Linked DNA regions of Rattus norvegicus. The protein of the gene in region 6 purifies or fractionates together with the protein of the main gene of each other region. This does not show direct contact. Links are inferred from orthologs where the notes say so. Each region holds a gene or a part of one and is shown on either strand. Other genes may lie near its edges.

What was found.
Region 1: the proteins of Cope (region 6) and Copb2 purify together in Homo sapiens (affinity purification with mass spectrometry; 4 studies listed by BioGRID and IntAct, with this or other methods). This does not show direct contact. The link is inferred for Rattus norvegicus from reciprocal best matches to the Homo sapiens genes COPE and COPB2.
Region 2: the proteins of Cope (region 6) and Copz1 purify together in Homo sapiens (affinity purification with mass spectrometry; 3 studies listed by BioGRID and IntAct, with this or other methods). This does not show direct contact. The link is inferred for Rattus norvegicus from reciprocal best matches to the Homo sapiens genes COPE and COPZ1.
Region 3: the proteins of Cope (region 6) and Sacm1l purify together in Homo sapiens (affinity purification with mass spectrometry; 4 studies listed by BioGRID and IntAct, with this or other methods). This does not show direct contact. The link is inferred for Rattus norvegicus from reciprocal best matches to the Homo sapiens genes COPE and SACM1L.
Region 4: the proteins of Cope (region 6) and Copg2 purify together in Homo sapiens (affinity purification with mass spectrometry; 5 studies listed by BioGRID and IntAct, with this or other methods). This does not show direct contact. The link is inferred for Rattus norvegicus from reciprocal best matches to the Homo sapiens genes COPE and COPG2.
Region 5: the proteins of Cope (region 6) and Arcn1 purify together in Homo sapiens (affinity purification with mass spectrometry; 4 studies listed by BioGRID and IntAct, with this or other methods). This does not show direct contact. The link is inferred for Rattus norvegicus from reciprocal best matches to the Homo sapiens genes COPE and ARCN1.
Region 7: the proteins of Cope (region 6) and Copb1 purify together in Homo sapiens (affinity purification with mass spectrometry; 6 studies listed by BioGRID and IntAct, with this or other methods). This does not show direct contact. The link is inferred for Rattus norvegicus from reciprocal best matches to the Homo sapiens genes COPE and COPB1.

What each region holds. Positions count from the first base shown.
Region 1 is NC_086026.1:108,043,614-108,047,320, forward strand, and holds part of Copb2 (coatomer subunit beta'), read left to right. Parts: intron 1-1,408; coding exon 1,409-1,546; intron 1,547-3,627; coding exon 3,628-3,707. UniProt on the Homo sapiens protein: The coatomer is a cytosolic protein complex that binds to dilysine motifs and reversibly associates with Golgi non-clathrin-coated vesicles, which further mediate biosynthetic protein transport from the ER, via the Golgi up to the trans Golgi network.
Region 2 is NC_086025.1:136,305,192-136,308,898, reverse strand, and holds part of Copz1 (coatomer subunit zeta-1), read right to left. Parts: intron 3,336-3,707; coding exon 3,254-3,335; intron 2,671-3,253; coding exon 2,579-2,670; intron 1-2,578. UniProt on the Homo sapiens protein: The coatomer is a cytosolic protein complex that binds to dilysine motifs and reversibly associates with Golgi non-clathrin-coated vesicles, which further mediate biosynthetic protein transport from the ER, via the Golgi up to the trans Golgi network.
Region 3 is NC_086026.1:132,101,789-132,105,495, reverse strand, and holds part of Sacm1l (phosphatidylinositol-3-phosphatase SAC1), read right to left. Parts: intron 3,523-3,707; coding exon 3,453-3,522; intron 3,333-3,452; coding exon 3,260-3,332; intron 2,297-3,259; coding exon 2,203-2,296; intron 2,088-2,202; coding exon 1,995-2,087; intron 813-1,994; coding exon 755-812; intron 1-754.
Region 4 is NC_086022.1:60,465,968-60,470,431, forward strand, and holds the start of Copg2 (coatomer subunit gamma-2), read right to left. Parts: upstream 2,987-4,464; 5' UTR 2,888-2,986; coding exon 2,851-2,887; intron 1,787-2,850; coding exon 1,734-1,786; intron 1,024-1,733; coding exon 943-1,023; intron 1-942. Other genes in the region: Tsga13 (testis-specific gene 13 protein), read right to left, coding at 3,264-3,433. UniProt on the Homo sapiens protein: The coatomer is a cytosolic protein complex that binds to dilysine motifs and reversibly associates with Golgi non-clathrin-coated vesicles, which further mediate biosynthetic protein transport from the ER, via the Golgi up to the trans Golgi network.
Region 5 is NC_086026.1:53,961,951-53,965,657, forward strand, and holds part of Arcn1 (coatomer subunit delta), read right to left. Parts: intron 2,348-3,707; coding exon 2,182-2,347; intron 1,285-2,181; coding exon 1,137-1,284; intron 740-1,136; coding exon 631-739; intron 1-630. UniProt on the Homo sapiens protein: Component of the coatomer, a cytosolic protein complex that binds to dilysine motifs and reversibly associates with Golgi non-clathrin-coated vesicles, which further mediate biosynthetic protein transport from the ER, via the Golgi up to the trans Golgi network.
Region 6 is NC_086034.1:19,156,176-19,160,633, forward strand, and holds the start of Cope (coatomer subunit epsilon), read right to left. Parts: upstream 2,863-4,458; 5' UTR 2,820-2,862; coding exon 2,694-2,819; intron 185-2,693; coding exon 122-184; intron 1-121. Other genes in the region: probable ATP-dependent RNA helicase DDX49, read left to right, coding at 3,204-3,318, 4,320-4,443. UniProt on the Homo sapiens protein: The coatomer is a cytosolic protein complex that binds to dilysine motifs and reversibly associates with Golgi non-clathrin-coated vesicles, which further mediate biosynthetic protein transport from the ER, via the Golgi up to the trans Golgi network.
Region 7 is NC_086019.1:177,869,964-177,874,470, reverse strand, and holds the start of Copb1 (coatomer subunit beta), read left to right. Parts: upstream 1-1,630; 5' UTR 1,631-1,728; exon of another isoform or gene 1,729-1,731; intron 1,732-1,794; exon of another isoform or gene 1,795-2,136; intron 2,137-2,309; 5' UTR 2,310-2,368; coding exon 2,369-2,459; intron 2,460-4,507. UniProt on the Homo sapiens protein: The coatomer is a cytosolic protein complex that binds to dilysine motifs and reversibly associates with Golgi non-clathrin-coated vesicles, which further mediate biosynthetic protein transport from the ER, via the Golgi up to the trans Golgi network.

The DNA.
Region 1 (3,707 bases), on a different chromosome or scaffold from region 6:
GTATCTGCACTGATGAAAGGTAACCGTGCTGGTACAGTGATTCAAGAATGTGCTAGTGATACATTCTTTTTGAGACAGTTTTGTCTTATAGCTCAGGCTGACCTTGAACTCACAGTTCTGTTTCCCAGAGTGCTGAAATTGCATGAGTACACCACCACGTCCAACCTGATAGTGTTCTGGTTGTCAGACACTTGTTTGTAAGGAGCCAGGTTTTAAGTGAGATTGCCATGAATGAAATAGTAAAATGTCATTAATGCTGTCAGTCTCAACACCTCAGGAGACATCTTCTGAAGCTTCTGTATTAGTGTTATGAAAGGAGGATGGGTAAAGTAAGATGTGTCTGTTGGAACACGCACTTTAGTACAGATAAAGGTTCAGGTTGCAAGCTTTACTTGAAATGATGGCCGAGAAACTAACTGCTTATCCAGATATATTTAGTAGACAGCCTGATAACTGGAAGAAGCTGGCTGGTCCCTGACCATGTTTGTTACTGATGATAGAATTCTAGTTTTCAAATGAAAGTTTGAATTTTAAAGAGTGAACGTCATGTATTTCTGATATTCAAAGATATGTCAGTTAAAGTAGGAAATGGTTAGTATTAATACTAATTAGTGATTAGTATTAATACTAATCTATTAGTATTAAATACTAATAAATGTGGCTTTTGATTAAGGGTAATGAAGTTTGTCGTATATGTGGATCTGTATAACTCAATGAACTATCATTTCCCAAATGACCAATGTATTCTGTTACAAAAAACAGGCAGGAGTTAAAAATCTGCAAAGTGTAGGATAGACTAGTGGATTTTAATTTAGCCGAGTGTAAACAGTTACTCCTTAGGCTTCAGATCCCACACGTGTTCTTTAAGGAACCCCCACTTCTCAGACAGCATCAAAGCAGAACATCCCATTCTCCAAAATGGCTGATATATTCTGCGTCCTAGCTTTATGTGTTTGAGGCCAGATGGTGGTTGTTTTGTTACATGTCAACCAAAATGGTATATCTGGAAACAAAGCCAGATATAACAGTCTTCTAAAAAAATCAAATTGAGAGTCTTTACATAAATATAAAACATCAGGGTTGAGGATTTGGCCCAGTGGTAGAATGCTTGCCTAGCAAGCGCAAGGCCCTGGGTTCGGTTCCCAGCTCCAAATTAAAAAAAAACAAAACAAACAAACAAAAAAAACCATCACTTGAAGCCCCTATAAACTTTAAGGCTATAAAGTCAGGATAAATTGGAAAACCACCTCTGAAATCTAAAAATACCCCATGCTTTAGACTAGAAACTATTCACAATTTAGCAAAGTTAAAACAGAATTTTTTTTGTAAGCCTCTTATACACTGTTTCAAGCATATTTTATTTGGCTTAAGAATTTAATTTTATTCAACAATTGTCTTTTCCCCTTAGCCTCTTCGACTTGACATCAAGAGAAAGCTAACTGCTAGGTCTGATCGGGTTAAGAGTGTGGATTTGCATCCGACTGAGCCATGGATGCTGGCTAGTCTTTACAATGGCAGTGTGTGTGTTTGGAATCATGAAACTCAGGTAAGATTTTTGAAAGGACTTCATTAGCAATAAAAGCTATAAAATACCAGCACTAATAATGAAAGAACCACCAGAGTCCAAGAAGCCGCGTGTGCACTGCTTCTCGAAGTAGGATGGAGCGTTATTTTCAGGAGCTAGGTTCGTGTGGGTGTTGCCTGTGGAAGAGGTTCTTCTGGGCATAGTGTATGTGATATTTAAATAGAGCAACATCGATGTAGGGAGTGTTAGCACCAGCTTCTGTTCTGCTTATTTTCTCCCTCTGTCACCAGTGGCAAAGAGGCAGCTGCTATCCATGTGTATTGAGAGTGGAACAGCACTCTCGCAGGGCTGCTCTGCAGGGTGAGGTCCATCCGGATGGTCTTACATTCAGATAAGGAAGTATTGGACTCTCCTTGAGGTAGCAGGTCGATGACTTAAAACAACAGCAGTGTTTTATTACTTAAATCCCCCTGCTGCTAATTTACTGGCAAGTCTTAACCATACTGAGCCTTGATTTATTCCTCTGAATGGATGCTAACTGTTGTGACCCTTGCATGAAGAAAGAATGTGAAATAAAATCTTAGGCAGTTGCTTCTCACTCACATCTTGGTGTTAGCTGTTGCTTTCTTAACTTAGATGTAGCCACTTCTGTGGTCTGGGGATGCAGCGTTTTGCTCTTTCGTTTAGCTCCTGAAGTGTAAGTTGACTTTTCTTGCTCTTTGTCCAACCATGCCCCTCATGTGGTACTCAGTCATGGAGGTTCTGTAGCTGGCCTCTTGCTGCTCCACATATCCTTGGATTTGTTGATGACTCAGAAGATTTGGACATTTTTCTGCTGTTGTAGAGACTGCATGCTCAGCTTGCTCTGTTCATGCCATATTCCCTAGTAGCAGCTATGTGTCTGTGTGGCACTCAGCTTTGTCTTAGCCTGCGAAGCCAGATGGTTGCAACAGTGAGCCAATAAGATTATGGTGAGCTCCTGAGATACTCCATTAAAAATGATAAGCTTGGGGCTGGGGGTTTAGCTCAGTGGTAGAGCGCTTACCTAGGAAGCGCAAGGTCCTGGGTTCGGTCCCCAGCTCCGAAAAAAAGAACAACAACAACAAAAAAAAATGATAAGCTTAATTTTTAGAATTTTAAAGAACAGACAAAGAGATCTGCTCATCTCTGGTTTTCCTAGGTCTCTTGAATTCCCACCTTTAATTCATGTAGATGATTCACTCTGAGCACCCAAAAAACATCTAAACCTCGTAGTTTTTATGCTTATTATTACAACAACTAAACACAAACTCTCAGCATTTTTTTCTGGAAATGTGTTGCTAAGATGTAAAAGCAACAACAACAACAAAAAAGAACAATAACAATAACAACAAAAACCAAAGAAAAAACAAACCAAAACAAAATAAAAAACAACCCAAAAAAACCCAAAACATCTTGTTGAGTCATTTCTATGGGTTCAATATTTTTTTTCTCTGAAACAAGGTCTCGCTATACAGCCCTAACTATCATAAAGCTCACTGTGTAGAGCAGGCTGGCCTTGAACTCTCAGCGATCTACCTGCCTCTGCCTTCAGGTGCTGGGATTAAAGGCTCATGCCAGCCACTATGCCTGGTTTATGGGCTCAATTTTTTAAAAAAGGAACCTAAGCTAAGAGACAATTCTCTCAACAGAGAGTGGAGTAAACTGCACAGCGGCTGAGTCACGAGCTGTTGTAGGTGTGGGCTGTACAATGGTCCTGCTTGGACAGTGTGGTGGGGAAGAGTGAGCATGGAGTCTAGCCTAGTGCTTGGCAGTGGTGCCAGAAGGGAGCAAATGGTTTCCTGGGTAGGTTTCCAGACAGGCGCGAAAGGCAACGCTGGAAAGGAGGGGCAGACCAGGACACAGGGTCTGGAGTGCCATCCGCCTTCTGACCATCTCTTCAAAGTTTCTGATTTTCAAATCTGCTGAAGAGAAGTTGATTGCCCCCCTCCCCCAATGTTGAGCTATCATTACATTTGTTTGACTAGAAATACTTCACAGACTGATGCTTTAATCCTAGCAGAATAAGACTCTTTAGTTACTTCTTCATAACTTAATGTGTCTATTCTTATTAACATTTCAAGACGCTGGTGAAGACCTTTGAAGTGTGTGATCTCCCTGTTCGAGCTGCGAAGTTTGTCGCAAGGAAGAACTGGGTGGTGAC
Region 2 (3,707 bases), on a different chromosome or scaffold from region 6:
GTATGAGCTGCAAAGCATGGATGCTAGGAACCAAATTCAAGTCCTCTGAAAGAATAGCAGGCATTCTTAATGCTAAGCAATATTTCCAGCTGCGTTTTGCTTTTTGAGGTAATCTGTCACATAGCCCCAGTCGGTCTTGAACCACCTATATAACTGAGGTTAAGCCTAAATTCCTGATTTTCCTGCCTTGTACTTCCCAAGTACTGGATAATAGGTGTGTGTGCACTGCCGTGCCTCTCTACCTCAGTGTCTTTTTAATAATTATTTTAATGTATACACTATCTGTCTAAAACTATGTCTGTATACCACATATGAGTAGTACCCAAAGATGACAGAAGAAGGCACTAGATTCCCTGAGATTGAGTGATGGTTGTGAGCTCCTATGTGGGTGCTGGGAATCAAACCCAGGTCCTCTGAAAGAGCAGTCGGTGCTCTTAAAAAAAAAAAAAAAAAAAAGATTTATTTTTATTTTATCTATATCCACACCAGAAGAGCAGAAGAGGCATCAAATCCCATTACAGATGGTTGTAAGCCACCATGTGGTTGCTGGGAATTGAACTCAGGACCTCTGGAAGAGCAGTCAGTGCTCTTAACTGCTAAGCCATCTCTCCAGCAGCCAGCACTCTTAATAGCTGAACTATCTCTCCAGTCCCTGCCCCTATGCCTTTACCAAGCTACCTGATGGATCAGTAAAGAGAGAAATTATTAAGAGCTGAGATCAGAGGAAGGTGGTGGAAAGAAAAAAAAAAACTGTACTCAAGAGTAAGGTGTGGTCATGCATGCTTTTTCTTTTTTTTTTTTGTTTTGTTTTTAAGCCAAATTTGAATCAAGCTTTATCAAATCCTGGCCACACTGATGGACACTGGCCAGGTCTGTATCCTGGATTCCCAGAGATTGGCCTCATCATGCATGCTTTTTATCTCCGAATTCGGAAAGCAGAGGCAGTGGATCTCTTTGAGTTCAAGGCCAGCCTGGTCTACAAAGCAAGTTTCTTGACAGCCAAGGCTACACAGAGAAACCCTGTCTAGAAGAAAACAAACAAACAAACAAACAAAACAAGGAAACAGTACCAAGGATCAAATCTGAGACTTGAAATTTGCGATGGGCACACTTCACTACTGAACTACACGTCCAGCCCCAGCTTGGGCTCTCAAGTCAGAACTCGGTCTGAACCTCAGCTTGTTCTACATAGGTAACCTCCAGGGAATTAGTGAGCTGAGTCACACATACAGCTGCTTTTATAGTTTGACAAAAGCCAAATAAAAGTAATTTTATATGGTTCTTTGTGGTTTGGTTTCCTCGTTGGCAAAACAAAGACAGTAATGCTTCCCACCCACAGAAATGCTGCCAAGCTTAAACAATACACTTCACAGAGCACACACATAGCAGTAAGGGCTCAGCAGGACCTGGTCTCTCAAAAGTCTTAGCTGTGATGGGAAATTATCTGGTGGCTTACGTGCCTTCTACTCTCCCAGAAGTTGTTTCCTACATACAAGAAGGTTAGGGATACACTCACAGACCCACTTATACCGTGAGAGCTCATCAAGTGACCCTTTCCTACTGTATGGTTCATGAAATTCACACTTACACACGCACACCCTTGATTACACCTCAGAAATCTACCTTTAAAAAACACTGTGACTGTGGGTAGAGGGCTAGAGAAGTGGTTTGGAGGTTAAGAGCATTGGCTGCTCTTCCAGGGGACCTGGGTTCAATTCCCAGCACCCACATGGTAGTTGATAACTGTCTACTACTACTACTGACCCCCTGTTCCTGGGGACCCAATACCTTCACACAAAAACACCAATGCACATAAAATAAAATTTAAAAAGTTAAAAAACAAACAAACAAACAAACAAACAAAGCACCATGGGTTAGCAAGGTAGTGGTGGCACACACCTTTGACCCAGTATCCAGGAGGCAGAGGCAGGTAGATCCCTGAGACGTTCAAGGCCAGCCTGGTCTACAGAGTGAGTTCCAGGACAGCCGGGGCTACACATAGACTCCCTGTCTCAAACTCCCTCCTCGCGCACACACACACACAAACAAAAAAATGCCATGGGAACTTGGCACAGTGGCTCACACCTACAATCTCAGCACTGAAGAGGCTAAGACTGGAGGATTGCATTGAGTTTGAGACCAGTCTGGGCTACAGTGTAACACTGTCTCAAAAATAAAACAGAAACAAAGAAGCAAACAAAACCTAAAATGCCACTGTGTAGGAAAGAACATTAATACTGTATAGATGTATATTCTAATTGGAGATGGTGGTTCCTGTCTGTAATTCTAGCACCTGGGAAAGAGATGTGATTTGAAAACAGCCTGTGTTATACAGTAAGATACTGCCCCTTACTAAAAAAAGAAAAAAAAAAAAAAAAAAAAAAAAAGACCCAGGAAACTTCCTTTCTGGACTGATTCTTTGGCTGGGCCATTTCTTCTGTAAGGCTGACAGGGATTTCTGACAGACCTCTTTATGACCTTGCCAGAGAGCAGAGGAATGTAGCTCTGCAAGCCCCAAGCCAGTGGCTGTGTCCCACTGGAGTGGCGTCAGAGGTAGCACACGCACAGTGAGTCTCACCTCGTTTTCATAGGAGCTGCCGATCACATAGAAATAGAGATCAATGCTGCTTTTATAGACCACTGTCAGCCCTTCCAACAGGGCGATTTCACCTGGGGGAAGAAAGCAGAAACTGAATGGTGGGAGAAGAGGTGGCAGAACAGGAGTTCCCATGAAATCCCGGGGCCAGCTGCCTGGGCCAAGGAAAGGCCAACTGTAATGACCTCCAAGCACTGAAGCTATTTATTGTTTCGAGGGGTAGGCAGAAGGGACTCAGAAACTCAGGGGAGTCTCTGTTCTCTGGTTCTCCCTCCCCCACTGCACCTACTTCCCTCCCTGCGTATGAGGCAGGGTAGCAGCCGATCCTTCGGAGGTAAAAACGCAGAGCGGTCACCTTTACAGGCTTCCATTTACCTGCCCTAATGGATGCGGTACAATAAGCAGAGCTGCAGTTAAATTTGTCAAGTGAGGCTCATAAATCCAGGGACTAGACAGGTAGCTAACAGCCAAGCTTCTACCATGGTATTCCCGTGTGAGGTACACTCACCTCCCCATTACATTTCTGAAGAGTTTATTATATGAGGGGAGGAGGAAAAAAAAAGAGGAGGCCGAGTCATTTTATCTTTTTTTCTAGTCCTGCTGACACCCCCTTCCTGTGGTTCCCCGAAACACAGAGAATGGTGCAGAATGACCTACTATCCGTCCGATGGGTCTTGTTGAAAATGTTCTTCTCAAAGGCTTTTTGCTCCTTGACACTGGGGTAGGTGTCGTCATAGTACTAGTGGGAGGGAAGGAGACATGGTTGGGTCACCATAGCTGTGAGCCCACAATGATTAGTGAGTGTTCTACTCTGGGATCTTGTATGACCCCTTCAAGGCATGAGGTAACAGGGGAATACTGAGACAGAGAAGCATGGACTACAGAGGCAGGGAATGGGAAGGGGGCGGGAGAGAGGGGGGAGACAGAGAGAGACAGAAAGAGACAGAGAGATAGATTGCTGCCAAGCCTCAGAGCCAGAACCCACATGGCAGAGAGAGAGAGAGAGAGAGAGAGAGAGAGAGAGAGAGAGAGAGAGAGCTCCTGCTAGTTATTCTCTGGCCTCTCTAACAAGTTCACACATATACACCCAGAAAAGAAATAAATTAAAAAA
Region 3 (3,707 bases), on a different chromosome or scaffold from region 6:
GCACTGACTGCTCTTCCAGAGGTCCTGAGTTCAATTCCCAGCAACCACATGGTGGCTCACAACCATCTGTAAAGAGATCTGATGCCCTCTTCTGGTGTATCTGAAGACAGCTACAGTGTACTTATATATAATAAATAAATAAATCTTAAAAAAAAAAATGGGAGAGCTAATTCCACAGAGTTGTCCTCTGACCTCACCTCTATCTACATGTGCACCCCTCATGTGACAATAGTAATTAAAGGTGCTGGAGGAGATAAGGGAAAAGAAGAACCACTAAAATACTTTGTTTGAAAATGCCATATGATATCAAATAGCCTGTATGTTAATTTAAAATAAAGAAAGAAAATGAGACTCTAAACAAAGAATGACCACTAACAACTACAATAACAACAATAGAAAACTAGTAGGAATTAGAGCGGTGTCAGTGCACAGTGATGCCCATGCCCAGTACTACACACATATATACAAAATAAAACCCAATTATCAAACCGCTCATTAAACATAATAAGTAAACATCTAGTGCTGCATGTAATCAAGACTCAGATGCATTATCTAAAGGCAAGCACTGTGGCACACACCTTTTTTAATTCCAGCACTCAGGGGGCAGAGGTGGGCAGATGTTTTTATTTTTTTATTTTTTAGTTGAAGGCCAGCTTGATCAACATAGAGAAGTTCAAGCCAGACAGAGAAAAACAGTAAGACTGCATATCAAAAGGAAAAAACAAAAGCAGAATATGAAACAGAGTCCACTTACCAGCCATAAGCAAACAGATGATGCACATTGAAAAGGCAACAACCATGATGATAGGCAACTGAAATATAACCAAAAGATACAGCTGTTAGGAGTAATCCGTGGTTATAAAATCATCCATCTACTTTGCCTGGAAAGGTGCCAAACTTCTTCTGCAGGCTCAGACACACAATGTTTTGGTTTGGTTTGGTTTTTTTTTTTTTTGGGGGGGGGGTTCAGTTTTTAAACCAAACATCACTATTTATGGCTTCAATCACAGTAACAAAAGTCTTCATACTAATAAAGTATGAGATCTACAGAAGGATGCTTCTGCTCCAAACCTGGCCAAATACTGTAAGGACAACAGACTTCTCTTCCATCCAGGGCACTTTGTCATCTGGTAGAAGGCCCCAGAGAAGCTGCAAAGTCTTGTGAATACAGGAGAAAAGAAAAGCAAAGTATCCCAAACACACTTTACCTTTCTTTCTTTCTTTTTTTTTTCTTCAGTAAAACTACACACTGAATTTATCAAATAACACATTTTCCATTTTACAATGTATTTTCTGTCTTTCTAGATTTTGGATTGTAATTTTTTTTATTGGATATTTTAATTATTTACATTTCAAATGTTATTCCTTTTCCAGGTTTCCAGAAACCCCCTATTCCATTCCCTGACCCACTTCTTCTGTAAGGGTGTTCCCCCACCCATCCACCCACCCCTTCCCATCTCCCCACTCTGACATTCCCCTACACTGGGGCGGGGGGTGGGGGGATGGTGTCCCGCCTTGGCAGGACCAAGGGCTTCTCCTCTCATTGATGTCCAACAAGGGCATGCTCTGCTACATGTGCAGCTGGAACCATGTATACTCTTTGGATGGTGGTTTAGTTCCTGTGAGCTCTGATTGGTTGGTATTGTTATTCTCATGGGTTTGTAAACCCCCTCAGCTCCTTCAATCCTTTCTCTAACTACTCCAGATGGGGGTCCAGTTCTTGCCCTTCATTTACAAATTTATCTTTAGCAATTCCCTGATCAAAGAGAATTGAAGTTCTCCTGAAAAAAGAACTCCTGTGTCCATTCTAATATGGCAGTCATGAAAGAAAGTGTGTACACAGTTATTCTTTCTGTATTCGAGTCTTTTCTTCAGAAGAGAAAAATAAATATATATATTCCATTTATAACAGCATGCAATGTTTTCAACAGAGGTGTTTTCTATACCTTCAGACATATACTTCCAATCCTAGAAATCATAGAAAAGTTTCTTACCGCCAGGAATTTCCAGTCCCTTGGAACACTTAAAGGACTGTGAGAGTCTAATTCATCCACTGAGTAGTTTCCAAGAAATAAGTCTATAGAATCCTAGAAAATAAAGAACAAAATTGTGAACTTTCCAAACTTAATTTGACTACATTGAGCAATAGTGCAAAGAGATAACCATTCAGTGGCAAACAAACACCATCAAATACAGACTTACTTGTCTAAATCCATCAGAAAAGTTGTTTTTGTAGTACCGTAATAATGAGTTGAAGCCATCCATTACCAGTCCCAACTGAGTTCTTTTTCCAGTTCTGATTTAAAAAAAGATCCAGTTTTAAATTATATATATATATACATACTAAATTATCAGTTTTATGACCCATGAGAGTTATAGAAATACATGAACAGCAAAGATATCAAAAATTATCCCTAAAAACACAGACATTTTACAAGTCACTAGCAAGAAATCTATAGTTGTGTCTTTGTATCTATAAAGAACCCTACTAGACACTACTCTACAGATGTTCAAGTTCCTCATATAAAAAGGTGTAGTGTTTCCACACACCCTATTCACACCCTCTTATCATTTCTAAGTAACTATGGTGTCTAATATAATGCAAGCATGAAGCAAAGAGACACTATCCTGTATTATTGAGGAAATGATATAGAAAACATCTGCACATGCTCAGTACAGACACAGACACTTTTTCATGAGTGCTTTGGTTAGTGGTTGGTTGAATCCATACATACAACCCACGGAAAAGAAGAGCAATTGTGTTTGTTCTCTAAAACATTACCAAAGTAGACACAAGAAAGCGAAATAGCTTAACTACAAAACGAGAACTATGAGAAGAAATACAGCCTATGTCAGGAGATAGAAAACAGCACAGAACTAGGAACCACATTTGGTCCCAGGGAATCTCTACAGTGTTACAGAAAAGACCCAAAGGTACTGAGAACAACTGACAGGAGCAGGAGTATGGTTGGGAGCTTTGCAGAGGTGCAGCTCATAGGCTGTGTCCCAAACCTGTGGAATCAGACTAGTGACTGAGGTGCAAAGTGATGTCTCTATGCATGAGACTGCCCCAAGGAGGCTAAGAACCCACTAATGCCCAAGCCTTGTCTTCAGCAATCCTGACATGACAGCTCTAGTGAGGCACAGGTGCTTGGCTTATACAACTGTACCTGAAAGCTCACCACAGAACCACAGAATGCCAGAGAGCACTGGGACTACAAGCCACTGATGCAGACCACAAGTTAAAAGTGTGGCTTACCTTGTAAAGTCAGTCTTCAAGGCACCGGTTCCTGCATACTGTTTGGCACAAGCATTAGCATTATCGGCCCAGGCTTTGGGAAAACAAACAAACAAAAACAGCTGATAATCAATGATTAAGGTGTCAACTAAAGTTTTAGTGCAAAATATTAATTTCAAAATTTGAACTTTGCTCCTACTAAGAAATTACCTACCATTTTTGTAAATCTTCTCAAACTCATCTTGTTCTTCAAGCTTTTGTCCCACATGCAAAACTCCTAGTCTCTAGAAACAGAATCACACCCATATGTATGAGACTTTAGCAGACCTGACTTAGGAAGAAAAGGCAATAGTCCACAAATCCTATCATGGGGGTTCTTTTCCTGCTGGCGCGTGCACACACCCACACACCCTTTTATAAAATTTCAAAGGTTGCTGAGTTCCTAAATCCCCTTCTCTATGGATTCTTT
Region 4 (4,464 bases), on a different chromosome or scaffold from region 6:
AGGAAAATTAATAGCAATAACAGAACACAGAATTTTAAAAAAACTTTCTTTTGGTTTTGTAACTCCAGTGCCTACTAAGACACAGCAGGTATACAATAAAACTTCCTGAGCTATAAATTGAAAATATCTCTGAATACAAACTATGTGCCTAGCACTATTATAACTGTTTATATCTACTATTTTATACAACTGTAAGGCTTAAAAAATTAGTATTATAAAACTAATTTACATTATGAGGCATATAATGGTTAAATTACTTGTCCAGAATCATACTGACAGTATTAGTGTAATGATGATACTAATATAAAACCTGAACATTAAGATAAAAATTTCAACATTTCATTATTATGCCAAATAAGTCAGCAAACAAAATACTTGAAATCTGACTGACTTTACATTGTATTTTCAAAGGCTCTCAAAATACATGTAACATGCTGTTGGCACAGCAGTTAAGATCACTTGTTAATCTACAGAGGATCCAGGTGTGATTCCCAGAACCCATATGGTGGCTCCAACCTCTGTAACTCTAGTCTCAGGGGACCTCCTGATGCCCTCTTCCGACCTCTGTGAACACCAAGCACACACATGATGCACATACATACATGCATATAAAAGCCATACACATAAAATAAATAAATCTTTAAAAACTAAAAATCAATATGTGTGACAAGTATGTTCTAAGTAGAATTTGTTGAATTGAAATCAACATATTTATTGAAATGTACATGTTTAGCTAGTCTAATACCTCATGAATTTAGAGAGAAATATAAGTTCAGTCCTTGTATTAAAGAACTTTCACACATTATTGTTCTAACCAAACACTGTGGATTTTCAAATTACATGGCTTTCTTTTTAAACAAGTCTACTTTTCAATAAGTACTTCACTATAGGTTACATATTTCCATTCTAATACACAAATCTAAGGAAATCAGAAGAGTTTACCTGGTTGAGTAAGTAAAGAATCTTTGTCAAGATATGCAAGCATCTTCTTGGATTGATGGGCGTTTCGTTAAATATGCGTGCCTACAGAAATATGCAAAATAGTATGCTATAAATGGTGTATTTTCTATCTCAAATCATCTTTAGTAACATTAACAATATGTTGGCACGCTATCGAAGTAATGTCAGTTGTCTAAGCTCTCAAGTTGGTATGGTGTACAATAATTACCAGATATGGCCTGCTTTCCTGGCTATACTTTATTCCCTTAGGTTGACAACTTCAACTTTAAAGACTTTACCAGAGTATCTGTCTACACATGAATACCACGAGCTTACTCTCTGGAAGTTCTTCCAGTAACCCTGCACTTACCACACGGCAGAGTCTGCATGTCTATACACTTCTAGAGTTCCAGACTCTCCCATTTCCTCTACTGGACACCCTCTGCACTGTGCTACACTCCTCTGCTACCTTTAATATATAAGTAAACGAATTTCTAGTTTTGATCAAATGTGGGGGAAGTCTGATTTTCAGACAGTCGGGTGGGTCCATTGTCCCTCATTGTTATTTTGGCTATCCTGACTTTAGTAGGATACTACTAGGTTCTTTGCCTGTCATTCTTCTTTTTTTATTTTTTTTTTTTATTTTTTTTTAAATTTTTTTTTTCTGAGCTGGGGACCAAACCCAGGGCCTTGTGCTTGGTAGGCAAGCGCTCTACTACTGAGCTAAATCCCCAACCCTTTGCCTGTCATTCTTAAACAGACTCTATAAGGCACTGTACACATCCAAGCCATACCTCCTGCAAGACAGCACTCTTCTCCAAATGCTGGAAAGGATTGGAACCACTACCTACAGTGTAAGAGAAAGAGAAGGTCTTCAGTAGCTGGACTGCACAGACTTTTCTAAAGGAGGATAGTACATGCTTGGGAGATCTCACCTAAACAGAATGATCCCTTGGAAGTCACAAGGACGACCATTACTAATATGCAAGTAAGTTGGATGAAGTAATTTTGATTCTGGTACAAATTCTGTCATTGCCATATTGAGAGATCTTGGATTTCTCCTGATAGAGGAACCCTGTCCAAAATGAGTGCCTTCATTCCCTGCTTCCCCCTCTCCCACCCCATGGATGTTAACAAATGTGTCGGTTCCACCACCACCAAGAGTAATGAGATGACAGGACACTATGGATTCCCCTAAAAGCAAACCCTATTTTATGTGTTTCACACATTTACTGAAGCAGAAAGGAACAGTTTCGCAGAGAATCACAAATGTAAAGAGGCCATGCAGGATGAGGCCATGAAGGTCCACTAACCCAACCTTCCACCACACTTGTGGGAGCAGCTACCACTGAAGAGCTGAAGATTTTTTTTTTTTTTTTTGAAGAGGCTTGGCATCTTCCCCACTTGCACTGCACCACAGACAGGTATCAACACGCAAGTCACTTCTGGATGCCTGCGTATTCAATGAGCTGTGTCCCACCGGGCAGTCTTAACCCCTGGGAACAGGAGAATCAAGGCCCTTCAGAGTCCATAAACACGCAACCCTGGCCCGGTCGACCCAAGCCCCCAAAACAGGGGGTGCTCGCCCTGGGGCCTAACCCCACCAGCAACCCCAGACTACCAAGACATGCGCGCGCACCTCCTCGCCCCCCGACAGGGCCCCACGGAGGGCCGGCTCTGAGGGGCTCCGTCGGGGGCGGGAGCGGGGGGCGGGGACGCGCCGGGGCGGAGCCGCGGAGAATTCAAGGCGACTCCCGGCCCGGAGCGCGCGGCCCGAGGGGAGGCCCCGGCGCCGGGGGAGGGGCTTCAGGCAGACCCCGCCGCTGCGGCCGCCCCCAGAGCAGGTGGATACGGGCGAGGGAAAGGGGAACCCTTGCGCCTGAGGGTGGGCGTCCGGAGCGCCGCGCGTACCAGACTCCTCGTCCTTCTTGTCGAATTTTTTAATCATCTTGGACGGCTTCCCAGCGCCCAGACCCACCGCAACCGTCCCAGGCGCCGCAGCCGGCGAGCGGAAGACGCTGCAGGAAGGCAGGCCCTGTGTTCTCACACCGGTTGGGCCAGCGGGCCGTCACTCGGGGCCAAGGCCCGCCCCCCTCGGGCCTCCGCGGCCGCCCTTGCCCCCTAGGGACGCAGGCACGCCCTCTGCTCCGCCTACTGCCGCACGGGGGCGGAGCCGGGCTCTGCCCCTAGGCTCGCCACGCCCCGCTCCACAACCTCTACAACTCAGGTCTGAGGCTACAAACATGGAACTTTATTTGGTTGGTGACTTCTCCAGGTCCCCTCAGTTCTTGGAGAGCGCAGAGAGGGGCTTAAAGGATTTGTCTTCACTTAATGACAGCCGCATTTTTGACCACCCACTGCTGGGCCCTTCCATAGCGAAAGCAGCTCTCCCCTGGCACACTTCTTGTAGGCTTCTCTTCTAGGAGCTTTGAAAATGTCAATGGTTCCCAAAGCACTTGCGAAGTTGGTGTTTCATCCGCCGACTTCATGGAAACTATGACAAAGCACAGGACACAGAATGTTCGACTCTGAGAGCACTAAACGGGTACTAAAAGGAAGACATGATGTGATCCTTTTGGAGAGACCGGAAAGCTGGTCTTAACTCTTACCAAGAGGTTGGATTTTGGGACTGCCATTCCCAGCCTCTTATGATTCCTTCTTCACTCAAGCCAGTGTAGTCTACGTAGCTTTCACCCTTTTCAAGTGATTCAATCTGTGACCATACTGACTAACACTCAAGCAATTTAAGGGACAATCACGTGCCTCAGTGCCTTTCCAAATGTTTTTTCCTTTTTTTTTTTTTTTTTTTTGGTTTGTTTTATTTGGTTTGGTTTGGTGTTTTATTTTTTTTTGGTTTTTTGGGGTTTTTTGTTTGTTTGTTTGTTTGTTTTTTGTTTTTGTTTTGTCCTCGTCTCAGAGTATGAAAAACACACTTTTTAATACCTTGGGCATCGGAGGCATCACATTCCTAGTTGGTCTTTCCAGCTTCACCTGTTCTTAGGGAGTTGTCTAAGATCTTAACTACAGTCCTCCATGGAGGGTGTGGTTTACTTCTTGGGCAACCTTCTAACCAAACTTCACTTCTCAGATCTCTCTCTCTCTCTCTCTCTCTCTCTCTCTCTCTCTCTCACACACACACACACACACACACACACACACACACACACACACACACACACAAACAATGATGGGGGACAGAGAAGATATTAGCTTGAAATGGCACCACTAGTAAAACGCCCTGGCAGATTTGTTATTGTTGAGGAAATGTACCATAACTGTCTGTCCGTTTTAGGTACAAGAGTAAAGCACTCACACTTGGAGAGGGTATATGTAGTCACCATAAATGACACTAGAGCCGAAGGCTGACACACTACTTTATACATGGATATCTAACTCATCCTGCCAGGGACAGGGCTCTTGAAAAATTAGAAAAGGTCTTACCTAGCTTAGATTACATATCCTTAAGAAAAATTCCAAGCTGGAAAGGGTAGCACACACCTTTAATCTCAGCAGATCAGATCTTTG
Region 5 (3,707 bases), on a different chromosome or scaffold from region 6:
CTATTTGTCTGCCTTCCTTTACAGTAGTCACGATCTCCACCCTACCTCCTTTCTCCCTCAAATCAGGGTCACACAAACCTCAAGATCAAAGCTCTGACACTCTTGTCTCTACCTTTCAAGGGCTAGGATCATAGGCCTGTGCCACCATACCAGACTTTACAACTGGTCGTTAACTTATTTTTAATCAACTAATTGTTTTTGTTTTTTGAAACTGGGTTTGTATAGCCCTGGAGCTTGTTCTGTAGACCACGTTGCCCTGGAAATCAAGAGCTCCTCTGCCTCCAAAGTGATGCCCAACTAGTTATTTATGAAGAAGCAGAATCAGTTAGGCCTAGTGCTTCAGACCTATAATCCCAGCTACTCTTGAGATTAAGAAAGAACACTCTTGGCCACTTTGTGAAATTCTGTCTCAAAACCGATAAAAAGAGGACTGGGAATATAGCTCAGTGGTAGAGCTCTTGCTGTGTTTAAGCCTCTAGATTTAAGCAGTATAACCACAGTGGGGAAGAAAATGAGCAAACATTTCAGAATGGATACTCAGTGAGGTACTGCCACCAAAATTCATCCCCAAACCCCAGAATCAGTTCTACAAATCAACACAAGGATAAGGATTAAGAGAACTTCACTTACGGGAGTGGGATGGTGATGACCACATCATTGAGCTCTAAATTATCTTCCTGTAGTTCATATTCTATGTTGACATCACAGCCGTTTCCACTTTCAGAAGGCCAGCAATTAACTGAGAAAAAAAAAACAAGGCCATCACACCTCAGCTTTAGAAAAAGAGTAGAACTGTTTCTTGGCCTTGGGCTAAGATCAAGAGTATGGAAGAATAGAAAATGTTAAAGTGGCAAATACAGCTGATCAACCACTGCAGATCTATAGCGTCCTATATACACCATACACTGGTGGCTCAAAGCCATCTGTGCTTTCAGCTCCAGGGGATCCGATGACTTCTTCTGGCCTTTACACTTATTCATAGGCAACATACACTCACTCAAAGACACATACACATAAATCTATTAAAACATTTAAATGGTTAATTCAAATATACAAAATATAGCATCAGTTCCACACTGCCAAAAAGAACTTGCTATGTCAATGAAGATAAGAGAAAACCCCTCACAGATACCTACTTGTCAAAGGAATAAAAGATTCCTCTGTTGTTTGTAGTCTCCACTTTAGCACCCCTACATCGCTGTTGACTGGAAATGACTTCTCTGGGTTTTTCAAGCCAATGAGAGACTCTGCAGTAAAAAGTTTTTTATCCACATTTGGATGGGTCTGGAATGAGAAGAGAAGGACGCCTGAAGTTCAGAGTGACAAGTGAAGGAAGGGGCCAGCAAGATGGCTCAATAGGGAAAGGCTCTTGCTTCCTAGCAATAACCTGCGCTCAGTCTCTGGGACCCACAAAGAGGAAAAGAGAACCAACACTTGAAAGTTATCCTCTGTCTTCTACTCATATGACATGGCACATGCATGCCCACACAGACACACACACATGGACACACACACATACACACATACACACATAAGCACACAACACAGACACATGCAGAATAAATGAGTGAATATACTAAAAATAAAAATAAAGAGGCAGGGTTGGGGATTTAGCTCAGTGGTAGAGCACTTGCCTAGGAAGCGCAAGGCCCTGGGTTCGGTCCCCAGCTCCAAAAAAAAAAAAAGAGGCAGCTGAAAATGTAGCTTGGTTGGCAAAGCACGTGCCTAGCATATATGGGGCTCTGGATTCAACTGCTTACAGTCCTGGCACTCTCACGTTGGGGGCAGGAGGAGCAGACAGTTAGAAGTTCAAGGTCATGCTCTGTTCCATAGTGAGTCTGAGGCCAGCCTGACCTATGTGAGATCTTGTCTCAACGACTGCACATGCAAAAAGAAAGAAAAAAAGAAAAAAGAAGGAGGAATAACAGGAAATAAACCCTTCTGGGCTTACAATGGTGAATAAATAGGATTCCTAATAAATTATAATTTTTAAAAAAAATTTGTGGGAAGAGTTTCCTTCTATAAAGACAAGATTTTAGACCATCTTTACAAAAGGCCAAGGCTATAGTTGAGCCTAGCTGGAGCAAGAGCCTGTATTAAATTTGGAAGTACTGCAAAAATCTAATAGGAAATCCAGAGCAGAGACTATGCGGGTACTCAGTATGAAAAGCCCCTACATACCTGCAGCTGCACCCCTTTCTTATCTTCATTTTCTACATGAAGACGAATCCGGCCAAACTTGTCATCTGAGATCCTAAGCATGATCATGCCATGCAACTCCATATTCTGTAATCCTCCATCTCTCCCACAGGTCAGTGTGATCTTTTCTTCAATCTTCATATGCACACTATAGAACAGACGTAAGTCAGTATGTCAGGAGAGTGGTAAGTAGGCTGGGGACGGAGTTAAGTTGGTAGAGTTTGTCTAGCATCATGAACCGAGTGATCCCAGCGCCACATAAAACCAGGTATGATGGTACTGCTTGGGGACATGTACTTGAGCCAGGGTTGGGAAGGGAATCAGGAGTTCAGGCCGTCTCTGGCTCACAGTGAGCTGGAGGTCATTCTGAGCACAAGAGACCCTATCCTTAAAAAGAAAGAGAAGGGGCTAGAAAGAGAGCTCAGCTGACAGAACACTACCACTCATGCAGAAGACCCAGGTTTGGTTCCCAGCACCTCACATGGAGCAGCTTACAATCACCTGTAACTCTAGCTGCAGCCAAAGCCCTCTTCTGGGGTCCTTACATACCTGTGCTCATGAGCATATAACACTACCCTTCCCAAACACAAATTTATACATAACTTAGAAGATTAAAAATAAAATTTAAAAAGAAAGAAAAGAAACCAGAACTCAGTGCTATTTTGGAGTTTAATAGTGATTAGCCTCAATTAAAGCTTTATACTCGGGGCTGGGGATTTAGCTCAGTGGTAGAGCGCTTACCTAGGAAGCGCAAGGCCCTGGGTTCGGTCCCCAGCTCCGAAAAAAAGAACCAAAAAAAAAAAAAAAAAAAAAAAGCTTTATACTCTTTTGGGGCCTACAAGATGGCTCAGTAGGTAAAAGCACAAAGCTTAATGATCTGAGTTCAATTTTTGAAACCCACAATGTTACAAAAGAACCAAATGCTGCCCGACTGTGGCATAAGTACACGTACACACACACACACACACACACACACACACACACACACACACACACACACACACACAAACAGATCAATTCATTGGGTGTTTTGTCTGTCTGTCTATCTGTACATACATATGTATGTGCACACTAAGTGCATGTCTGATGCCTGAGGCAGTCAGAAGAGAGCAACAGATCCCCTGGAACTGGACTTAGGATGGTTATAAACTCATCACTTAGCACTGGGAATCCAACCCAGATCCTCCACAAGAGCCACAAATGCTCCTAACTGGAGAGCCATTTCTTCAGCCCAACAAACAAGTTTGTTAAAAAACTTTATACTTGGGGTTGGGGATTTAGCTCAGTGGTAGAGCGCTTGCCTAGGAAGCGCAAGGCCCTGGGTTCGGTCCCCAGCTCCGAAAAAAAAGAACCAAAAAAAAAAAAAAAAAAAAACTTTATACTTTGTGGAGTTCATGGATTGACACATGGCTGGCCATGGTGTTTACAGAGACTCTTTCCAGAATTTATCTTAAAAATAAATTCTTGTCTTCCAGGGACGGTGCTTAGAGGCACTTAGGAGGGTCCAG
Region 6 (4,458 bases):
TCCTCAGACCACACATACCCAACCCTCCCCATGATGAAGCATGGTGACCCAGGCCCCTGGGTTGACTGTCCACAGCTTTCCTGCAGAGTACCTGTGCCCTTCCCAGGCGGCCCACACTCACCTGTGCGAGGTATGCTCTATACAGGAAGACATCCCTCTCGACTTCTCTCTCAGGACTGGACAGCTGTGAGGAGATTTGTTGAGTGAGGCTGAGGAGCCTGCTGGGAGCTTCCCTGGTGCACTCAGGCTAATAGCTCAGGGCCTTAGCTGGAATCCAGGAGGCCCAGAAGCCCCAAAGGAGCCTCCACAGAGGGCACAGTGTAAAAAGCCTGATCTTATCTCAATGAGGCTGTCATCACCCCAGGTATCAGGGCACAGTGCCATATGGCTGCAGCAGCAGCAGGGCTGCATGCCCCAGCCCAGAAAAGTCCTACTGAGTTTAGAGTCCAGGCTGATCATGAACTACCTGAAATCTTCCAGCCTCGGCCTCCTGGGTGTGATACCTGGGGTGAGGACAGGGTGATGATATACTGTGTTTTGGGCACACAGGCTAGGCCATTCTGTGGTCGGTGGATACACACATTTATTTTAGTTAGCACCCAGGACAGAGTCTAATGATCCTCCTGCCTCAGCCTTTGGAGGAGCTTGGACCACACACCGAGGGGCCCCTGATCACTGCAGTCTAGCAACCAGCAGCTCTCATGTGGCCAGAAATTGCAGCAGGGAGAGGCCCTGCCTCAAGCCACCTACAGTTCTAGAGCTCTCCCTGCCTGGAAGAACAGATGGTGACCAGGCCACCTGCATGCTATCTGAAGAGATCCTGGGAACTCAGCAGAAGGACCAGCCTGGACTATGAGACATGCTGAGGGCCCCAGGGAGACTGGGCTGGCTGATGTCGGAGGTGGGGCTGCTGTGTACTTGTGGTAGGTACTAAAAGGGAAGATGAGAGAGAGGGAGCACAAGCTTCAACCAACACTGGGCGAGGACATAGGGTGGGGCATCTGACCAGTACACAAGAGTCTTGATGTCTCCCTAAACCTGAAAGGCATAAGGAGAGGAAGGAAAGATGCCGGTATCACAGAGAGTCACTGAAGTAGCTTGCTGGGTCAATGACTGGTGACTAAACATTTATTGTCCCGCATCCCTAAAGTTCAGAGTCCAGAATCAGGAACTTACACCTAACCACATAAGTCCTTAAAAGCAGAGACATAGAGGAAAGGGACCTATGGGAAGGGAGATAGAAGAGGTCCTAAGGATGACAGGACGCCACATCTGGCTGTTCTGAGATGGGAGAAGAGCCTGGGACTAGAGAGAACCTTCTAGGAGCTAGATGTCTTCAGTGAATACAGAGCCGCTGGGAAAGCTAGGAAGTGCTGCTTGTCCAGAACCTTAAGAAAAGAGAGCTTTGAGACCAGTAAGAACAAACCTCCACACACTACTCTACACACTTTACCCTAGCCACACTCCAGCCCATCATGCCCTGACCCTGGAATGCTACGCTGTTTTCACAGTCAAAATAGCCAGGCCTGAGACTACCACTTTCCTGGTTGCCTGCCTGGCCTCTGTTGCCGAGGCTACTGCACCTAGAAAGCCTGGAGTTCCATCAACTCTGTCTCTCACTGAGCCCAGCAGGAATGCTGTTTTCCACACACATGCAGAGAGGGATCAGTGATAGGTGATCCTGTCAACAACACAGGCTGTTGCAGACAATTCCCATTTTTAATGAACTAAAGACAAGCACAGGCTTGTCATCCTGCATCTGGGAGGGCTGAGGCAAGACTGCTGAATCTAGGGACAGCCTGGGCTACGTGCGACTGTTTAAAACATAAAACAAAGCCAGGGCTGGGATTTAGTCCGTAGAACACTTGCATCAACGCTGTGCTTCCCACCTCCAGTACTGCATAAACTGGGGCTGGCAGTGCACACTGCAATCCCAGTACTCAAGAGTGGAAGCACAAAAATCAAGAATTCAGTGTTCTTCAGCAAGATGAGGAATTCGAGGCCAGCCTGGGCTAAAGGAGACTGTCTTCATTTATAATCGGACTTCTCTTTTTTTGGGGGGGTGGGGTGGGAGGGCGAGGAGGGTACAGTCCAAGCCAGGATTTTTCTGTGGCACCCTGGCTGCCCTGGAAGTCGCTATGTAGGTCAGGCTGGCCTAAAACGCAGAGAACTGACTGCCTCTGCCTCTGGGTGCTGGGATTTAAGAGACGCGACACTACCTCTGGCTTGAGACTGTTATTAAGACAGATTACAGTATTATCCGACTGACCTAGAACCCCTCATGAAGATCAGGCTGACTCTGAACTAAGAGATCAGCCCGCCTCTGCCTCCCAAGTGCTGGGATAGAAGGCGTGCACCACGATGCCTGCCTAAACACTTAATGAAAGGGGAGTGAGGAGAAACGAAATAGTAAGAGGTTACAAGATAGAGCCAGTGGCGCACACCTGTCACCTCATCATTACCCTGACTTCAAGTCAGCCTGGGCTACGAATTGAGCTATCAATCAACTAATAAAATTTTGGAAGCTGGGCACAGGGGTGCACGCCTGTCAGCCTAGCACTCAAGGGGTGGAGACTGAAGGCGTAGGACTTCAGGTCAGCCTCGGTTACACAGTAAGTTCAAAACTATCCTTGACTATAAGAAAAACCGAGTCCGCCGACCAAAACCTCAGAACTGCTCCGCACGCTGCCTACCTTCACGCGCTGCGCCTCGTTAATGCACTGCTGGTAGCTGCCGATGTAGAAAGCGTTCTTCACGTCGAACAGCTCGTCTACCTCTCCAGAGCTGCCAGAGACCGCGCCGGGAGCCGGAGGAGCCATGTCACCACCCCTCTAACCGGTCTTCTTCCTGGGAGACACGTAGGCCGGAAGCAGGGACCTGCCGCCGGGAACTATGGGAAACGTAGTTCTATGGGACCAATAGGAGGCGTTGAAACAGAAACCATGCAAAGCCTCCCGAGAACTATAGATCGGATTCGATGAACAAACACAAGGTTTTCAGGACCAAAACACTGAAAAGCGGTCGAAGCTGGGATTGGTTGAGGGATCTGGAGCGGGTGGCTGCGCAGTGGCTCTCCGTGACGTCACATTCATCTGCCAGGGTTCGTTCACAACTTTCCCAGGCGGGACTGCTCCGGGTGGACGTGATGTACCATTCACGCGCCGGAAGTGCTCACCACTAGGTTCTCTACACTAGTCTGAAGCATGGCGGGGTTCGCTGAGCTCCGGCTATCGTCGTGGCTGGTGGAACAGTGTCGACAGCTGGGGTTGAAGCAGCCCACGCCGGTGCAGCTCGGGTGCATCCCGGCCATCCTGGAAGGTGAGTCCTTGACTCTCTTTTAATGCCTTTCTTTGTCCCCTCTTCCTTACCCCGGGTCCCACGAATCAGGACAGCATTGGGTGTTTCAGAGATCCTGACCCGCAGCATTGGCATTTAGGCTTCGACTGACTCGTGTGCATTGTCATACAGGTGATGGATGGAACCTCTGAAATTTTCGTAGAACCCGAGCATTAGGGAGAGTTCGGTGAATGACTAAAACGTGGCACTGGGGCAAAAAAAAGGGGGTGGGGAGTAGAACTGGCCTTGACGTAGCAAACAGAAACAGAGGCTGTCAAACTCCAGGCTCCGTGTTTGTGTCAGTGCTCTTCAGTTCAGCTCACTTTTGCCATTAAAGAGGCATCCTTGGAGCCGAACGTGGTCATCTCTCATCTCAGTCATCTCAATACCGAGCAGGAGGATCAGGAGTTCAAGATAATCCTCAGCTGTGTAGCAAGTTGCAAACCAGCCTGGGATACTTGAAAAATTGTTTCAAACAAGCAGTCATAATAACTGTTGGAAATTAGATGATGTTCAAGGGATTAGTGAACATAAAACAGCTTTTAATATTCTATTCTGCAGAAAAGGGTGCTGGCATTGAAAAAAGGATAAAGTAACTGGTATACTGATTTCAAGCAAGTTTTCGAAGCTTTCCCCCCAATCCTGCAGGGCTTGCCCCCTTCCCAAATTCCCCACCCCATTGGTCCATTGGGGCCCCAACTCTTATCTAATGAATAATTTGGGGCTTGAAACTGCCCCCCTTTTATAATCATAGGCTCAGTCACATAGCAGACCACCTGTAAGTCTCCAAGTCTTAGAATTGTAAGACATGCGGGTGCCAGCCACCAACTAAGGGAGAGAAGGGCCCAGCACCTCCTACTCACCTGTAACTCTAATAAACTGTAAGCAGACCATACCCATCTATTTCTTACAATAATGAGTGAATGCTCACAGGACCAATCATGGCCTTTCTTCATGTTAATACTGCTTTGCCGTCTGCCCAGGTCGGGACTGCTTGGGTTGTGCAAAAACAGGAAGTGGCAAGACAGCAGCCTTTGTACTTCCCATCCTGCAGAAGCTGTCTGAGGACCCTTATGGCATCTTCTGCCTGGTTTTGACACCCACTAGGTGAGCCTCTAGCAC
Region 7 (4,507 bases), on a different chromosome or scaffold from region 6:
CCCTAAACTGCTGAGCTTTCTCGTTGCCAAACCTAATCTCTCCACCTTGTTTGGTGTCCCTTCTTTCTGTCACTTCTTGGTGAGTCAAGTGAGTTTGGAGAACTAATAACTGCATTTGTAACGATTCCATGTGAAGAAAAAACTGAGTTCAGAAAGGAACATTCTAGAATGCATCTCATTCTCAGAGAATTGTACTGAATAAAGAAAGCTAATCTCAACGATTCCATTGTATGATTCCATTTATATGTTAGAATGGATAGACAGTTGCAGGGGTTAAAGTGGGCCCCTGGCTGTGACAGTTGGTGGACTCAGGAGGGATCTCTGTGGTGGAACTGTTCACTGTCTCGACTGTTGGTCCTCATACGAAACTGAATGTGTTGTTTAGAAACAAGTACATAAATGAGATTCTATAAACTGGTGAAATCTCAATAAGGAGACATGTCAGTTCCTGCAAGACTTCATAAGGCAAAGGAACTGGGCAAAGACCTCTTAGAGGGCTTGTCAGTATCATGTCTTACAATTCCCTAGATTCAAAGCATCTTTTAAAATGCACAAGCTAGATGTAATAGCACTTGCTTGTAATCCCAGCACTTGGGAGGCTAAGGCAAGAGAGAAGTAGATTGAGAGTTGGAAGGCCAGCCTGGACAGTGAAACTATCAAAAATCAAAAATTCAGAGAGGTGGCTCTTTTAAGTACAATAAATATGTAGCCTCTTTGGTGTATTTTGAGTGCTGGGGGATTTGTTCTTTAAACTCAATGTTTCCAGAAAAGGGAATTGTCAGAATAGCTGCGTTCCAGGTAGATGAGAAGACAATTTGTATTCTGTGTCCCGGAAGTGAGGTTAGCTGGTTTTGTATACACAGTATGTATCCAGGTGGTACACACCTGTAATTCCAACTTCTCAGAAACCGAAGACCACCTTCCAAGACCAGTCAGGCAACTTGAGAAAACACTGTTGATGCTTTCAAATATTTTGTTATTAATAATTGACTACGACATTGGGATAAGATATGGAACTACAAATGAATAAAATCTAATGTACTATGTCCAAGTATAGCTGTAACTAGTAGGTCTATGAAGACAAGAAAAATTCTTTGATGCTGACTCTCTCCCTTTACGCATAATTTTTTTAACATATTGGACGCTCTTGAAAGGACAGCAAAAGGCCATTTTGAATAAAGAAACAGTTGTCAGACAACTTCTGATACTCCATTAACTCCAGGTCAACTAAATAAAGTCAGATTCGGATCACCAGGGGTGTTAAGCGCTCAAGTATATTTCCGTATAACCTAGTTGTCTTATTGAAATATTTGAAATCATCTGCCGAAGAGTCGGTTAATTTTCCAATTTGTAAATGAGAGGAAGAAGGACTGCTGAACTCCTCTGTATTTTTTGTACAAGTTTTAGCTCCTGGGGAGAACTGCTAACTGAACACAGCGCTTAAGTCAGCTCCTCACTCACAGGGAAAACTAAACTACTTGCTCACACTGCAGCAGAAACCAACCCAGAGAGAGGAAGAAGATAGCACAGACTTTCAGGGCTCAATGCAGGACGGAAGAGGCTTGTCCTCTCTGGGTCTCCGTACAGACTCTGTAGCTGCATCCTAGTTCCTCCCCGCCTCCTTCCACGTCAGCCAAGGACTCAGTGGAGCCGTCGCGGCAGCGGCTGTCTGGACCGGTAGTCGACGGTCCTACGGTTCCTTCCCGACCCCCACCCCCACGGAGCCAGGTAGCAGCCTGGGCCCCGAGCCCACGGGGTTGTGGCGGTCTCGCGGGGTCGGTGAGCCGCCGAATGGGGAGATGCCGGGCGCTTGACTAGGCCGCGGCGACGGGCAGTGGGGGCGGGGAGCTGGGCCGCGGCCCCGGGGGCCGTGGGACCCGGGTCTGCGCCGCCTAAGGCCTGGCCCTGCGTGGACGGAGGCCAAGGAGGGGCGGCCGGGGCGCACCCACGGGGAACCCGCCACGGCGGAGGAGTCCCAAGATTCTGCAGCGTCTTCGCTTGCTGGCCGCCCTCCTCGAACAGATACGACTGTGTTATGTTGGCAATCGCGGCCCCGTGACGTGGTGCTCCGAGTTGTCACTGTGGTGTGGACCTCGACTCCACAGCTTTCCACACCCTGGGTCGGGGAGTGGACGGGTACGGGGACTGAGTGATTGTCACTAGAGTTCATGGAGGGAGGAGATTGGGAGAGCTCTATAGATCGACATCCTCAGAACCACAGGGAAAGAACTTCAGGCAGTATAAAGATCAGAACTGATTTGCCCAATTTGTCTCTTTTTTTCTAATGATACTTGTATTCCTTTTTGTAGATTTACCTGGCACCTTTCGTCCTTTTCATCTTGTTTTGAGTTGGTTATAAACAGGAACCATGACCGCAGCTGAGAACGTGTGCTATACGTTAATTAACGTGCCAATGGACTCAGAACCCCCTTCTGAAATCAGCTTAAAAAATGACCTGGGTAAATAGTTTCTTAACTCAGATAGGAATTGTTTTAATTGATAGGTTAAAAATATAAAAATTGGACATAAAATTATAAAATATAAAAATTAATGTGATGTTTTAAATTCATGTCTATATTGTGTAATATGTAAATCCTGTCGAATATAATTATCTCAAATCTTTTCTTCATAGTGAAAACATTTCACGTCTTTTTGTCGAGATTTTTTTAAATGTGTAGGATACAGTTGTTCACTGTAGTCCACAATATCAGACCACAACTTTTTATCTTATACTCGGTAGCCATTGATCAGCCTGCCTGCCTGCCTGCCTGCCTTCCTTCCTTCCTTCCTTCCTTCCTTCCTTCCTTCCTTCCTTCCTTCCTTTCTTGCTCTCTCCCCCAGCTCTGAGAAGCACAATTCTTTTTTTCTTTTCTGTTTTCTTTTTCCTTCCTGAATAAGGCCTTACTCTTTCCCCAGGCTGGCCTGGAACTCACTAACAGGCCAGGGCAGCCTCAAACTTCTATCAGTTCTCTTAACTCAGCCTCCCAAAGGCCGAGATTACAGGTACAGGTCACTAATCACCTTTTACTTTCAACTTCTATGATGATGTAAGTTAATACTTCTTAAATTTTTTCTACCCTAACCCCTTTTCACCTGAGGATGCTTCTTAATAATTGTGTGTGTGTGTGTACCAAAATGTGCTAGTCATATATGCATATTGCGTGTACTTGCATGTGAAGGCCAGAGGTAAACCTTAGGTACATTCCTCAGTCACATTCCACCTTGTTTTTTTAGACTTTTGATTTTTTTATAAGATTTATTTTTATATATATGGGGAGGTGCTTGTGTATGTGAATGCCCGGAAAGGCCAGAGGTGTAGTAGATTCCTCCTGGACCTGGAGTTACAGGCAATTGTGAGCCACCTGATGTGGGTTCTCTGCAAGAGCATTATGTGCTGTTAGCCACTAAGCTGTTTCCAGTTCCCAGGCTTATTCTTCACTGTTTATATAGTGGAAGTGGGGAGACAAATACGCAGAGCACTAGTGTAGCAATCAGAGGACTTAGGTGCCAGCCCTCTCCCCCAGGTGGGTTTTAGGCATTGAACTAAGTGCCTTTTACCTGCTGAGCATTCTCAGAGGTTCCCTTCCCATTATTAGACACAGGATCTCTCACTGACCCTGAAGCTTGCTAATTTAGCTAGGCTGGCTGGCCAGCAAGTCCTAGTGATCCTCATGTTTCCACCTCCCCGGTGCTAAGGGTCTAGGCATGTGCTGCGTGTGACTTTTACATGGGTGCTAGAGATTGAACTCAGATCCTCATTGCTTATGTGGCCAGCACTTTACTTACTGAACCATCTCTCCAGCCCTTCCAGACAACAATTTTTTTTTTTTGAGTCAGGGTTTCTCTGTGTAACAGCCCTGTCTCTTCTGGAACTCACCTTGTAGACCAGGCTAGCCTTAAACTCAGAGATCCAGCAGCCTCCTAAGTGCTGGAATTAAAGATTTCCAGTATGCCCCATGGAAAGAACACTTTTTAAATCATACATTATGGTAGTACAATTCAATCACAGACTAAAATTTGATACTTAAACTTAGAAATGACCATAGGAAAACATTAAAACTCTACTTCACTTAATTAAACCAAAAAATCTTGTGAATATAGTAAAAGCATTGCAGCTCATAACATACAGTACTTTGGAATCTGAGCTGAAAACAACACTATTGGGTGTTATGTCTTAGAAGGGCGTGTGGAGTGTAATGTAAACATGTCATGTGCTCCAAACTAAGGCCACATTGAAGAGCACGCTCATACAGTGCATCACAGGCAAATGCTACCAGAAATGCTGGATTCAATAAATGATTTTGAATTGTGTGGGGTGTGTGTGTGTGTGTGTGTGTGTGTGTGTGTGTGTGTGTGTGTGTTTGTTTAGAAACCTCACTGATGGCAAATTCTACGTTCAGTTGTGCTACCCCAGATTGAGTTGTGACTCACAGTTTAAGAAGCTAGGATTAGGGGCTGGAGAGATGGCTCAGTGGTTAAGAGCACTGACTGCTCTTCCAGAGGTCCT